3 linked regions of the Arabidopsis thaliana genome follow. The protein of the gene in region 1 interacts with the protein of each later gene in a biochemical or structural test. Each region holds a gene or a part of one and is shown in the gene's direction. Other genes may lie near its edges.

Region 1 (4,321 bases):
TCCATATCAACTAATGCTTCTTTAATCTTAGAGAATAACCCTTCACTTGATTTATCTTTCACTTCCAAAAATGTCAAATAAAACTCTTCAACCTTCGTTAACGTTGAAGAAATATTCACACATCGAATGATCATAGTCATCTGTTCTTTATGACTAATATCCGGAGTACAATCAAGAATTATGGAACAGTACTTTGAAGCATGTATTGTCTTCATGATCATAAGTCTAATCTCACCGGTCAAGATACCTATTAGCTCATTTTGAATCTTGTGACTTAAATAATGAGAATATATCTCAGCTGCACCAATTCTTCTGATATGCTCTCTCATTACGACATCAAATTCTGCAATCATTTCAATAAAACTCAAAAAATTCCCATTTCTGTCTTGGCCAACCTTTTCATTTTTTCCACGAAATGCTAAATTATTTTTAGCGTGAGTTTTCACCAATGCAATGATCCTTAGGAGTACTTCCCTCCAATGAATATTATCTTTGTTTATTGCTTCTTGGGCATGCTTATCAATCGTTTTATTTTTCTGTAGTCTAGACTCTAACTCAGCTCGACGAGTCATACAAGTAATGTGATCATGGCTGCCTTTGTGTTCTTTGAGTCGCTTTGAAAGATTTCTCCAATCATTGTACCCGCTAGTTGCCAAGTAACCACCTTTTTTGTCATGTCTCAACAACTTACAACAAAAACAAAAGACTTTAATCTAATGCTTTTGAGTAAATCAACCATCTTCTATCTTGTTTCTCCCCATTCCTCATTTCTCTTATGTAAAATGTTTGAGAAAAATGCCTACCAATACTATCTTTACGAAACCGGTAATTAGTTGATAACCTTGTCGCTAGACCCTTTTCAACTAATAAATCTCTGAATCTCATATTCATGTCATCCCAATTTACTGGATCGGAAATATTGGAAGGAAGTTCTTCTTTCTGCCCACTTTTCTTCTCTTCATGAACAACTTCATCTTGATCTTTGTTATCAAACTCATTCTCATCCACTTCATTCGTCATCCAAACTGTCCACATTATTGTTGTTATCAAGCATCTGCTTGGAGGAGCCAATGTAGGCATGTGCTCTCTCTTCTTGTTATCAAGCATCTGCTTGTGATATTTTTGTACAATTAAGCTAACATAACTTTAACAAAAAAAATCTGTAATAATAAGTTTATATGTACAATCTAATTCCAACAAATCAAATACTAAACTAAATATCATTGATCAACTAATTTTTTTATTTCCTAAGAACATATCTCTTTAAAAGAATTGTTTGAAGTTTCTTCCATTAGAATAAGTCTTGTGAAAATTTTATTTATTACATCATTAAGTAAAACTTCTTTTAAATTAATAGGTTAAACAGTCTATATATATTTAGTTTTTTTTTTTGAAAAATAAAATAAATTGCATAAAATAAATTGGCACTAATTTTAAAATAAAACGTTCTAAAGATATTTTTTATACAATATATAATAATTAATAACCTAACAATTTCTTTCTTTTTTAACAAAACAATTTCAAAATTCAACTTAAAAAAAAAATTGCTCAATCAACAGAAATTACAAAATGCCAATATGGACGTAAAAGGTCCATTAAGGAATCAAAATACAACAAAGTAACTTTTTCCACATAAAAATAAACTAAGGGCATCTCCAACGCACAGATACAGTATGAGTTTCTCAATTCTATTTTTTTAATCAGTTAATAATAAATATATTATTTATTTAAATTTTATATTATAAAGACAAAATCTGACCAATCATAAATAACAAGGGGTTGAGTTGGGTTTCTCATAGTTTCTCATATGAGAAACGTTTCTCTTTCTTTCTCCACCTTTTTCATTACTTTTTATTTTTTTAATCTCCAGATACTCATTAAAAAACTGCTGTTGGAGATGACCTAAAAACCGACCCAAAAAGTATCAGAAAATTCCCGTGTACAAAATTTAATCCAACGGTCCTCCTTCCATCTCCTTTCGCAATCGTCGCTCCCCACTCAAACAAAAACCAAAAAAAACAAAACTATCTTTTAAACCCCAACAAAAAAAAAATTGAAATTCGAAAACAGAACAAAAAAAAAAATCTCTCTCAATCTCTCTCAGATCTGAATCCATCCATCACCGATCTCTAATGGCGGCACCACCAGCATCATCCTCGGCGAGGGAAGAGTTCGTGTACCTCGCAAAGCTCGCAGAGCAAGCGGAACGTTACGAAGAAATGGTTGAATTCATGGAAAAAGTCGCTGAAGCCGTTGACAAAGACGAACTCACCGTCGAAGAACGTAATCTCCTCTCCGTCGCTTACAAAAACGTAATCGGCGCTCGTCGTGCTTCCTGGAGAATCATCTCTTCCATTGAACAAAAAGAAGAGAGTCGTGGTAACGATGACCATGTGACCACGATCCGTGATTACAGAAGCAAGATCGAATCTGAGTTATCGAAAATCTGTGACGGTATTCTTAAGCTTCTTGATACTAGACTTGTTCCTGCTTCTGCTAATGGAGATTCTAAGGTTTTTTACCTTAAGATGAAGGGAGATTATCATAGGTATTTGGCTGAGTTTAAGACTGGTCAAGAGAGGAAAGATGCTGCTGAACATACTCTCACCGCTTACAAAGCTGCTCAGGTTTATTCTCCGATCTGGAATTTTGTTGGATCTCATTTCTAGGTTAAATCATGATTTGTGTGAATCTGTGTTTCTTTTGTTTGTTTGTAGGATATTGCTAATGCTGAATTGGCTCCAACGCATCCGATTCGTCTTGGTTTGGCTTTGAATTTCTCTGTGTTTTACTATGAGATTCTTAATTCTCCAGATCGTGCTTGTAATCTCGCTAAGCAGGTGATGAGAAAGTTTCTGATCTATTTGGGATTTGAGTCATTGTGTTGGTACTACTCTATGTGTATTGATATTGAGATATAACAGGCGTTTGATGAAGCCATTGCTGAGTTAGATACTCTTGGAGAGGAGTCATACAAGGATAGTACCTTGATCATGCAGCTTCTTCGTGACAATCTTACTCTCTGGACTTCTGACATGCAGGTAAACGATCGAAACGAAACCGTTCTTTGCTTCATCGAAACTGCTGATAATGGTTATGATAGAATAGTTTTGGAATTGTCCACCAACATAGTTCATTGCTGATAATGGATATGATAGATAGGCTTAGTGGCTCATGATGCTGGAATTGTGCACACACATTGTTCATAAGCTTTGAATCAGATGGTTTAGTTTTGCATTATGTATGATAATACTCTCATGAGCTTCTTGGTCTTGATCTCTGATTCTGTTGTGTTAATTTCGACGATTAATCAGGACGAAAGTCCGGAGGAGATTAAAGAAGCAGCAGCACCAAAGCCTGCTGAAGAACAGAAGGAGATCTAAGTTTGTGGTTTCTTTTTTCAGTATTCTTAAGTTATGCAATTATAATTATGTTTCTGCTTGGTGTTTATTTTCTAATCTTTCCTTTGCTATCCCCGAAGCTTCTAAGGCCGTCTAATTCTTGTCCTTTGTTTGCTTTTCTCAATCGTGGATGCTACTGGATTTCTGTTTTGTTTTACTTCTTCTCTTGATTGATTGCATTTCCCGGCTTATGCCTTGTACTTGAAACTCAGTTTTCTCTCTTATTAATGATTTGCCATTCACCTGGTTATGCGTTTTTGTATACATGTGACTGCGTTTGCAATTGTGTTTTCTGAGTTTGCTTAGGTTATGCACACACAATTTACGCTGTTTGAGAATGAGCGCTTGCTAATACTGATACAGATTATTACAGGAAACACTGACCTCAAAATTTGCGTGAATTTCGATGAGATTTGCGTAGGAATAACAAGTGTTGGGCATATAGGTTTGAATCAAATGGGACTTACCAAAGTTTGTATCAACCTCGTTCACCAGTTATTGTTTTGCAGACCTCAACCAAAAGTTAACATGAACGAGGTCAATACCTCTCAAAAGCTGATTAATTGATAGCATCACTCATAGTAAGGTAGAGATTAATGTTCAAGAAAACGTTAGGCGTTAATTGGGCGGTAACCCAATGCAACGCTTCATCGGGTCTAAACAGTTTTAGGCGGTTAAAGCGTTTATAGTATAAAATATTATAAATATGTTATTATATGTAAAAGTTATTTAAAACATAAATTAAAAAATAAAAATCTTAAATTTACAAAACAAAAAATAGATAAAACGTACATTAATTCATATCAAACAACATTTGAACATTAAACTATATATATGAAGACAAAATTTAACAAATTTGAATTTGAGTAATTAAAATTTGGAAAAAAATATTAAAACGAAGCATATATAATCTTAGGCGG
Region 2 (5,373 bases), on another chromosome or scaffold:
TTTTCATTTATATAAATACTTGGAGTTCACCTCCTTACAACAACTTGAAACAAATCATGGAGCTTAACTCCTACAAACATGGAATCATGGAAAAGTGACTTTAGTGGAATACTCCACATTATTAGCAATGAAACAGAAATGCGAGAGACTTAGTCAAGTCATGACCAAGTCCTTAATCGTATCTTGGATTGGGCTTGCGCAGACGTTTGGGCCGAACGTTGATGTTGGGCTGAATGTCCTCATCATGCTATGCCTCATAACTCATTCCTCAAAGCTTTCTTCTAATCATAATTTATTTGTTTTTTGTTTTTTTAATTTGCATCGTGAGGTCTTCTTTTTGATCCAATCAATGGACCTCTTTCTAAGAGTTCAACTACTCTTAACAACTTTAGGTCTTCTAGACACATAGAAAGTAATAAATATATATGGGCATGACACTAAGGTTTCATTCTTTTTCTTTATTGTGGTTTAGGTTTTTGATCTAATTTTGTTATTGTAAGAATTATTTTGTAATTTTGTTATTATCTTACCATGGAATTAAGAAAAAGTAAATTTCTTCAAACTTACCCTGTTGTTGCAACTTACATATTAAACTCTCTCTTTTTTGTTAAAAAAAGGTTATATATCTTTTAACCTTCTAGGATTTTAGCCTAGCTGAAAAAAAGTTACACATTAAACTTGTTTTTGTTAACAACGTTTTAGCATTTCGGTTGTGTGTTGTTTCTTCCGGTTGTTATAGTTTCGTACTTTCGTTGGTTTTGAGTTTTGGATTCTTGAAAGGTGGTTATAATTTATACATTTTGTTTCTACACGACCTTAAAGAAGTAACTTCAATTAATTAAATCTAATTCGGGAAAGAGCACGTCTCAAAAGAGTCGTCGAGTCCCATGTGAATTCTATATGATAACATTAAACAAAATCACGGTTCCATATTTGTTTAATACTAGTATGTATTGCAGAGTAGACTTTCCTAATCCAGTAGATTCTTAAAGAAAAAATAATATAAAAAGATTGAAAATAGAAATAAAAGATGGGAGACACGAAGGGTCACTTGTATTGTACCGAGTCCAAATGTAAAGAAGTCTCAATAATGGTGTAATAAAATAAAGAAGTTGAAGACAAGATCACAATCACCATGTGAAGATCAACACACAAGATCATAATTTTATTGTATGTTTGCTTCATTTCAACTTTTTTAAATATTGTTAAGAGGGCAGGCATTGAGTGCGCCACGTGGCAAATGACCATCCCTTTGTAGGTGCAGCAAACGTGATAAAGATTCCGGACTGTTCACCCATTCCCTTCTTCCATTTGTTTCTTATTTTTTCTTACAAATCTTATCGTATCATAATTTTTTTTCCATAATGCGCTCCCTTGAATGGAATAACGTTGGTTATTTTGTTTCCAACCAAATTTTCATACCATTCGATCAAATAGGTGCATCAACTTACAAGAAATGAAAGTGTGATCCCTATTTTATTAGGTAGCTAAGTAAGTGTTAGTGAACACTACGTTAGATTGTTACTCAAATAACGGATCAACGAATCTCGTATTCATTACTATACTGCTAATGAATGCATCAATTTTAATTTTTATTGGTTATCTATCCTTAAAAAAAAGTTATAAGAATATTTTGATAATTTGTTCCAAGATGTAGTACTAGTAGTAGTACTTGGTCTCGTAAACGACGACGCCGTTTAGGAAATCAAACGGCCAAAAATGCTTCCACTTTGCGAAATTTTATTGGTGGGAAACGCAAATGTATCGATAATGATTTAAAGAAAAAGCGGCGTTTCTAATTGGACCACGTTGCCCAATCTCTACGGCTCACGCACGATCTGACGTCAAATTGGCATAATACTATAATAACCTTATCGAGAATAAAATAATAGTCGCATCCAAACAAAAGAAACCAACCCTTTTATATCACGACGAGTGTCACGCCATGGACACTTGTCCATCTCTCTCGCTCTGACCCCTTTCAGGTATCTTTTATTTCTCAAAGAGGAATTATTGATTTTCCATTTCCAAAGAAAAAAAATAAATTCGAAGGTCAGGAAAATTAACAAAAAACTTCCTTTTTTTTTTTGTTAGTTTGTGTGACTGAGCTGCTTCATTTTTTTTCTTTCTTTTTTTTTTTGGTTTGATGAATCGATTTTTGTTGTCTATTACTGATTGGTTTTCTTGTTCAGATTCACTGATTCGAAGAGAATCATGATTTTTTTTTCCCGCTGAATAATAAGCATATGATTGGGTGTTTTGGAGATTTGTTTACTGATTAAAAGGAGATTCCTTTCCATTTTCACCATTTGCTCTGTTTGACTTCATTGTGCTTATATTTCATTTAGATCTTTTGTTTGGGTTTAGCTTTGGAACTGATAAAAATCTGATTTTGTCTCACGGCTTTGGATTTGGTTCTTAAATTTTGGTACTTTAAAACTGGATAAAGATCAGTGCTTTTTTAGATTCTTCGTTTGTTGATGAATTTATGGATGTATGTATAATTAAACCATAATCTCTCTGCTTGTTTGTTTTCTTATAGGTAAATATCCAGAAGCTTGATCCTCCTAGTTGTACGAAAGCTTGAGTAATGGGGTCTAGATTAAACTTCAAGAGCTTTGTTGATGGTGTGAGTGAGCAGCAGCCAACGGTGGGGACTAGTCTTCCATTGACTAGGCAGAACTCTGTGTTCTCGTTAACCTTTGATGAGTTTCAGAACTCATGGGGTGGTGGAATTGGGAAAGATTTTGGGTCTATGAACATGGATGAGCTCTTGAAGAACATTTGGACTGCAGAGGAAAGTCATTCAATGATGGGAAACAATACCAGTTACACCAACATCAGCAATGGTAATAGTGGAAACACTGTTATTAACGGCGGTGGTAACAACATTGGTGGGTTAGCTGTTGGTGTGGGAGGAGAAAGTGGTGGTTTTTTCACTGGTGGGAGTTTGCAGAGACAAGGTTCACTTACCTTGCCTCGGACGATTAGTCAGAAAAGGGTTGATGATGTCTGGAAGGAGCTGATGAAGGAGGATGACATTGGAAATGGTGTTGTTAATGGTGGGACAAGCGGAATTCCGCAGAGGCAACAAACGCTGGGAGAGATGACTTTGGAGGAGTTTTTGGTCAGGGCTGGTGTGGTTAGGGAAGAACCTCAACCGGTGGAGAGTGTAACTAACTTCAATGGCGGATTCTATGGATTTGGCAGTAATGGAGGTCTTGGGACAGCTAGTAATGGGTTTGTTGCAAACCAACCTCAAGATTTGTCAGGAAATGGAGTAGCGGTGAGACAGGATCTGCTGACTGCTCAAACTCAGCCACTACAGATGCAGCAGCCACAGATGGTGCAGCAGCCACAGATGGTGCAGCAGCCGCAACAACTGATACAGACGCAGGAGAGGCCTTTTCCCAAACAGACCACTATAGCATTTTCCAACACTGTTGATGTGGTTAACCGTTCTCAACCTGCAACACAGGTGACTAAAGAACCTAAGCTACTACATTTTGTAGGAAATACAATCATCTGAAAAATATTAGACGTAGCCTTCATGTTTTAAGATAAGCTGGTTTTGGATATGCATGTATGTTTCAGTTATCTGAGCATGACTTGTTTTTACTTTTTTCGCAGTGCCAGGAAGTGAAGCCTTCAATACTTGGAATTCATAACCATCCTATGAACAACAATCTACTGCAAGCTGTCGATTTTAAAACAGGAGTAACGGTTGCAGCAGTATCTCCTGGAAGCCAGATGTCACCTGATCTGACTCCAAAGAGCGCCCTGGATGCATCTTTGTCCCCTGTTCCTTACATGTTTGGGCGAGTGAGAAAAACAGGTGCAGTTCTGGAGAAAGTGATTGAGAGAAGGCAAAAAAGGATGATAAAGAATAGGGAATCAGCTGCAAGATCCCGCGCTCGCAAGCAAGTGAGTGTTTGTTTAAATTTTGGAGATTAAAGAAACCTTAAAACTGTGACCATGTTATTTACTTTTTCACTTTCTTGCTTGACAGGCTTATACGATGGAACTGGAAGCAGAAATTGCGCAACTCAAAGAATTGAATGAAGAGTTGCAGAAGAAACAAGTGTGTCTCGCTTCTTCCCTATCACAATTAAGAATCTCGAGATTTTCATATTTTCTTGAGGTTGTATTCACTGACCAAATGTTTCATGCAGGTTGAAATCATGGAAAAGCAGAAAAATCAGGTACTGTCTTGATTTGAATATCCTCTATGGTTGTTGGCTAGGCTTTTAACTCTCACTCATAATGAATTACACTTTTGGACAGTATTCTAAGCTTTTGAGTAGAATAGTGTAAGCTATACCATGAAGTGAGACATATCATCACATTTTTGATTTCCCACTCTGCATAAAGTATTTAAGATTTGTGAATATGTTGCAATGCCAATTTGGATATTTCATGAGACTAATCTGACGAGCATGGATTTAACGGAAGTTGGCTCATTTGTTGTTGCAGCTTCTGGAGCCTCTGCGCCAGCCATGGGGAATGGGATGCAAAAGGCAATGCTTGCGAAGGACATTGACGGGTCCCTGGTAGAGCTTATAATGGCGTCTAAGGAACCCAACAAAGCGCCGAAGTTATAGAACAACTCAGAAGATAGAAAGCTAGCTTTGTACGTAGTTTAGGCAGGTTCTGTGGGTGATTGTAAATCTTGAAGTGTGGCGGATTTGACAGAGATAGATAAACACATATCTGTTCTATTTTCCTAAATCTTTTGGTTTTATCTTCCTGATGTAATGGATCTTTATCATTTGTCTTGAACATCTTTGTGACTTAACCAGAGTGAATTTATCTTGTATCTTGTCTGCAATTTTTTCTTTAGCTCATTTGGGCCCAAGTCAACACCTTTATTATAGAAGAGAGTAAACATCAAGTTTAGCATCAACATCTGGTAATCCAACTGGGCGTACAAAATTAGATACACATACTAAATTGGCAAAATTCTTGCAGATAGCATCCCGCTTCAGGATAAGGTGCATCAACGTTGAACAGATGATACTTGTGAAAAGTCTCTGGAGTTGAGGTGGTTTGATACCATCGGACCGTTATACTTCGGTTTAAGATCAGTAATGAGACATCTTCTAACTGTGTTTCTTGAACAAGATGCTTTCAAACGGTTACTGCCTTGGATACTCATGCACAAGCCCTTCTGAAACACTCCTTGCTCTAGCATGTCCGAACAGCTTGCTAACAATAGCCAGGGAAAATTTGGTAACAGTTGCGAGCCCCAAACTTGTAATCACGTTTCCATCTATAACAACTTCGGCTCCTTCGATCATTTGTTGATTCATAGGCTCGTCTGACTCTGAAGGATACACAGTCGTTCTCTTCTCCTAAAATAGGATTCCAATTGTT
Region 3 (5,719 bases), 260 kb from region 1:
GCTTATCTCTTGTCGATCTCCAAGGCTTTTGTCTTGTCCCTAGTGCATTTGCTATCTCGGTTTGGTTGGTGAGGTGTGATGGTGTTTGTATTTGTGTCTCTCGTTCTGGTGGCTTCTTGCTTTCCTCCCTGTCGGATTGCTACTGGTTTGACTTCGGTGTGAAATCTTTCCGATCTTATTGGTGCTTCCGACGTTCACCGTTTCTTTGGGGAAGCTTTGTGAGAGCTTTTGGTTCCTTTGCGCAATTTTAGTGCTTAAATCTTCGTTTTTTCTTAACGGTTGATTTTTTTTAGATATTTGTTTCTTTGTTTTCATTGCTGGTCTAAATAGTTTCTCCGTTTCTTTGGGGCTTAGCTACCCTCTTTTAAGCTTAATTTCTCGAGACATTTTGTTGGTCTGCCGGCTTTTATATTTGAAATGGTATCCTACTTTGGTTTCTTAATAAAATTCTGGCGACAAAATTTTTTTTTTTCGAAAGATCTTGTCATAAATATTTCCTACTGCCTTTTGCAATACGTTACAATGTTGACAATTAGTAAAATTCCTCATTTTTTCCTTAAGAAAATATATAATACCAAATGATGATGATTCCACGTATAGATGTCTATCTCATTGCGATACTATATTAATATAAATCAATTTCTTCCAATTTCTGACCATCATATTAGTATTATATTGACTTTTATATTTGGTCTGCATTAATTATATGTTCCCCATAAATAGTTAGCAAATCCGGTTCGGATATGTAGGTCCAAAGCCTTTTGTATTTTTATCCACGCAAATTTTTCTTGAATCGTACGTAAATATTGAATTCCACGTTTCCATATACAAAACCAAATCAAATATAATTACTTTTACAACAACCCCATTTACGATTTGAGAAACAAAAACGTAAATAACTTACGAATTTTCATGTTCTTGAATCTTTTCAGCAGGAAAATAGTAAAATAACTCAATGTTTTTATGGAATAATTAAAAAAGAAATAGAGAAAACTGTTTAATTTTCAAATTATTCCAAATTTTGTTAGAAAAGAAGTTGACCTTGAATATCTAGTTTGATTCTCTATTTGAGATAGCTATTTATCCCTTTTAGTTTTTAGGTTCATAAAAATGTACAGTTTTGTACTTTGCACATTATCAAAAATGTAGAAGAAAAGTAAATTATTGATTTGATTGGTGACTTAAAATTATATAAATTTGTTTTACAGATAAAAAAACTATAAACAATACCAAAATAATTAAAAATAATACTAATAAAAATTAGAAAATAACGACTTTACATGATATTTTTGGATATCAGCTTTGAATGGTAATTCATTATCAAAACACTACAGTTTGTATATGTTTGACAATTATCATTCACAAAATTTTTATCAAAAACATTACAAAAATTTTTAGTAGAAAACTTTATTATACAACTTTCTCTGCTTATTTTTTTACAGTTTTACACTATTTTTAAAGCTCTTATAATTGTAGTTAACATCAAAAAAATTTGTACAAATTTGTATTACCAATCGGACTCATTATTTTTGCGATTAGTAATAACTAAAGAGGTATTAGTCCGATTCGGATCTAATATTGGACTTAAGACATTGGAACTTGGGACGACCTCGAATAAACCCTAACAACTTGGAGAGATAAATACATTTAGAGGCTGTCAATTTTCTAAAAAATTAATACAAAAATCATAGTAAATATATTATTATTAAATACCTAGTAAATGTACTGTCCACCTAACACTTCAAAAAAAGTTTGGTGTATCGGTCAAAAAAAAAAACTGGGCAACCGATAAAACAAGTTTCCAAGAAGAAAAACACAAACGCCAAATCAGCCCAAGTCACAAATCCGTCGTCGTTTAGTCCACGTAGACTTCACAAAGTCTACCTTTTTCACCGGTTATAACCGGTAAACTAAAATTCTCCTCTCTTTTACCAGTCCCGTTGAAACTCCGTTAAACTTTTCCGTTTCTCCGTCATTATAAATATCAATCTTCTTCACTCTATCGTTTTTTTTTTTTCCTTCTTCTTCCCTCTCCTATAAATCTCTCCGTCTTCTCTCTTCTCTCATTTCACGTCGGAGATCATTTTCTCCTCCTCCGCCTCCGCCTCCACCGCCACCGCCACCGCCGCCGCCGACGACTTTTCTCACTTACTCAACACCAGAGGTCTCTCTCTCACTGTTTCTTCTTCTCCTTTCTTTCGATTTCGTTTGGTAGATTTTTAGATCTGATTTTTTTCTGGTCTCTGTAGCTTTACTTGAAGTTGACTCTGTTTCTCGTTATAGATCTTGATCTGTTTATGATTTCGAATAAGAACAGCTTCAAGCATAATTTTATATTCGAATAAAAATTAGATGCAATGTGTTTATTTCGCGTGTTCCAACTACACGAGTTTTTTTTTTTTTTTTGGATTAGGAGTTATAACAATCTCATTGATCTTATTGTTTTGATTTTAGATCTTGGTTTAGTGTTATAATGGAAGGTGTTGGACTAAGAGCTGTAGGATCACACTGTTCTTTATCTGAGATGGATGATCTTGATTTGACTCGAGCTTTGGATAAACCAAGATTGAAGATCGAAAGGAAGAGATCGTTTGATGAAAGATCGATGAGTGAGCTATCGACTGGTTACAGTAGACATGACGGTATACACGATTCGCCGCGAGGTAGATCGGTGCTTGATACGCCTCTTTCTTCTGCTAGAAACTCCTTTGAGCCTCATCCTATGATGGCTGAAGCTTGGGAGGCTTTAAGAAGGTCAATGGTCTTCTTCCGTGGTCAACCTGTTGGTACTCTTGCCGCGGTTGATAATACTACCGATGAAGTCTTGAACTATGATCAGGTAAAACTATCGAAAAGTTTTCATGGTTTTATCTCAAAACGTTTCAAAATGTTTTTTTTGCGGTTGTTGTAGGTGTTTGTGAGGGATTTTGTACCGAGTGCGTTGGCGTTTCTGATGAATGGAGAACCGGATATAGTGAAGCATTTTTTGCTTAAGACACTTCAGCTGCAAGGTTGGGAGAAACGTGTGGATCGGTTTAAGTTAGGAGAAGGTGTGATGCCTGCAAGTTTCAAGGTGCTTCATGATCCTATCCGTGAAACGGATAACATTGTTGCGGATTTCGGTGAGAGTGCTATTGGACGTGTGGCTCCTGTAGATTCAGGGTTCTGGTGGATTATTCTTCTTCGTGCTTATACCAAATCTACTGGAGATTTGACTCTCTCTGAGACACCAGAGTGTCAAAAGGGAATGAAACTGATCTTGTCTTTGTGCTTAGCTGAAGGGTTTGACACGTTTCCTACACTGCTTTGTGCTGATGGATGTTCCATGATTGATCGAAGAATGGTATTAAAAGCAATCTTTGATCGAAACTGATTGTTGTTTCTTGTTTTGTTTGGCTATTAAGATTGATTTCTTTTTTTTCCTGTATTTGAAGGGTGTTTATGGGTATCCCATTGAGATCCAAGCGTTGTTCTTCATGGCTTTGAGATCTGCTTTGTCGATGTTAAAGCCCGATGGAGATGGCAGAGAGGTCATTGAGAGGATCGTTAAGCGACTTCATGCCTTGAGCTTCCATATGCGCAATTACTTCTGGCTTGATCATCAGAACCTCAATGACATTTACAGGTATAGTTATTTCATTTGCTTTAGATGATATGTAGAGTCACAAAAGATCACTATAACTTATAGTACATTTGTTTAAAAAGGTTCAAGACTGAGGAATACTCTCACACGGCGGTGAACAAGTTCAATGTGATGCCTGATTCTATACCCGAGTGGGTTTTCGACTTCATGCCTCTCCGTGGAGGCTACTTTGTGGGAAACGTAGGACCTGCCCATATGGATTTCCGGTGGTTCGCACTCGGTAATTGTGTCTCCATACTTTCTTCATTGGCCACTCCAGATCAATCCATGGCCATTATGGACCTCCTTGAGCACCGGTGGGCAGAGCTTGTAGGTGAGATGCCTCTCAAGATTTGTTATCCATGCCTCGAGGGCCATGAGTGGCGCATCGTTACTGGCTGTGACCCCAAGAACACACGGTGGAGCTACCACAATGGTGGATCTTGGCCAGGTCTTTTTTCTTTCCCTGGAGACTGATTGCATGAGACATTTCTTATCTCGCTTAACTGAGATTTTCGCTAGACCTAGCCATTAGGGTTTTTTTCGGTTTGATTTGGGTTTCAATTTTTTTTTGTAGACTGGCATAAGAACAGAAATATTCATTTAAGATAGTTTAGCTAGATTTTAGTTATAAAAACTCAGTACTTAGTTTAGCTACAGTTTGGTTGTGGTTTGGATTATTCATATGAACGTATAGATACATTTTAGTTTGGTTCAACTTTTGTATCTTATGATCGCATTTCTTTCTTAAATATATACATTTGTGGCAACCTTTGATATATTTTGTTTTGAAATGTTTTGATAGATTGAATAATGAACATCATGTTGTGTAGTGTTAAATTTGTCAATAAAATTGAATACAGAATCTGACCGCCTTTTTGTTTCTCTGCTCAATGTACAGTTTTGCTGTGGCAGCTAACAGCAGCGTGCATTAAGACAGGGAGACCGCAGATCGCAAGACGCGCGGTTGACCTCATAGAATCGCGTCTTCACCGAGACTGTTGGCCAGAGTATTACGACGGTAAGCTCGGAAGGTACGTTGGAAAACAGGCAAGGAAATACCAGACTTGGTCAATCGCAGGTTACTTAGTGGCGAAAATGTTGCTAGAAGATCCTTCACACATTGGTATGATCTCTCTTGAAGAAGACAAACTCATGAAACCAGTCATCAAGCGATCTGCGTCTTGGCCACAACTCTGAAAAACCGCTTTAGGTTTTTGTTCCGGTTCTAATATTTGCCACGATATGATTTTTTGTTGTTGTTGTTTGTATGATAATGTTATTGAAAACTTGTGCGGGGACATAGACTTTTTATTGATTGCTTTCTTTCTTGCTTTGCAAGTAAGGAAAAAGAAAATGGGAAAAGCTCGTTTGCCGTTTTTATCGAAATTACACCTTTTTTTTTAATAATTTGCATTTTGGCGCTATTGCAATATGAATATCTTTCAATAAGCTGAAATGACCGATTCTTATTGGTGTAATAGGTGAAATTATCTTTATTATAATCATGATTTGAAGTTAGCCTCCACTCAAATTCAATACCAAAAGCCTCACTCATTTGGTCGATTGATTTCAGTACATATATAATTAGGATAATGTAACACTATTCTAAATTAAACTTATCCATATAATGAGTATTTTACTCTTACGGTAAAAGTGTATTTGAGTATAAATACTTTACAATGTACACATTAAACACTTAATGAGAAATAATACGATTCTGTTATTTTTACTTTCTCTTTTTTAACTCTTGTTTCTTCAGCTTGAGTTTGTTATAGAGGAGAAAGAATCCTAATATTGTATCAGAGCTTCTCCGATCATGAGCTTCTCTTCAATCGAAATTCGTTCTCATTCATCTCTTTCAATTTCTTTCTGATTCATGTTGTATCATTTTCCTCGCGATTCTTCAATTCGTGTTCGTGAGTGAAATCTGAGTTTCTTCATTTTCATTTTCTGACCTAATTGCTTCCGATTCTCTTCTAAATCTCTTTTCAAAGTAATCTCTATCATCTTTTGATCTTCTTTCAACTATGGAATCAAATCCATTTCGTCCATCTTTTCTTGATGCAACATCGAACAATTTCAATCCGCAACATC

What was found.
Region 2: the proteins of GF14 PHI (region 1) and ABF3 interact in a test that uses a peptide from one of them, tested with the Arabidopsis thaliana proteins (one study listed by BioGRID).
Region 3: the proteins of GF14 PHI (region 1) and CINV1 form a complex in vitro, tested with the Arabidopsis thaliana proteins (one study listed by BioGRID).

What each region holds. Positions count from the first base shown.
Region 1 is NC_003070.9:12,865,132-12,869,452, forward strand, and holds GF14 PHI (GF14 protein phi chain), read left to right. Parts: upstream 1-1,994; 5' UTR 1,995-2,132; coding exon 2,133-2,627; intron 2,628-2,717; coding exon 2,718-2,840; intron 2,841-2,924; coding exon 2,925-3,041; intron 3,042-3,230; coding exon 3,231-3,383; 3' UTR 3,384-3,759; downstream 3,760-4,321. Other genes in the region: AT1G35150 (General transcription factor 2-related zinc finger protein), read right to left, coding at 1-678, 842-1,107. UniProt on the Arabidopsis thaliana protein: Is associated with a DNA binding complex that binds to the G box, a well-characterized cis-acting DNA regulatory element found in plant genes.
Region 2 is NC_003075.7:16,293,418-16,298,790, forward strand, and holds ABF3 (abscisic acid responsive elements-binding factor 3), read left to right. Parts: upstream 1-1,916; 5' UTR 1,917-2,590; coding exon 2,591-3,478; intron 3,479-3,630; coding exon 3,631-3,924; intron 3,925-4,009; coding exon 4,010-4,081; coding exon of another isoform or gene 4,082-4,172; coding exon 4,173-4,202; intron 4,203-4,473; coding exon 4,474-4,554; 3' UTR 4,555-4,868; downstream 4,869-5,373. Other genes in the region: DJ1C (Class I glutamine amidotransferase-like superfamily protein), read right to left, coding at 5,136-5,351. UniProt on the Arabidopsis thaliana protein: Binds to the ABA-responsive element (ABRE). Mediates stress-responsive ABA signaling.
Region 3 is NC_003070.9:13,121,563-13,127,281, reverse strand, and holds CINV1 (cytosolic invertase 1), read left to right. Parts: upstream 1-1,953; 5' UTR 1,954-2,164; intron 2,165-2,454; 5' UTR 2,455-2,473; coding exon 2,474-2,839; intron 2,840-2,911; coding exon 2,912-3,343; intron 3,344-3,434; coding exon 3,435-3,625; intron 3,626-3,705; coding exon 3,706-4,073; coding exon of another isoform or gene 4,074-4,099; exon of another isoform or gene 4,100-4,523; coding exon 4,524-4,822; 3' UTR 4,823-5,200; downstream 5,201-5,719. UniProt on the Arabidopsis thaliana protein: Cytosolic invertase that specifically cleaves sucrose into glucose and fructose and is involved in the regulation of multiple tissue development including primary root elongation, root hair growth, leaf and silique development, and floral transition.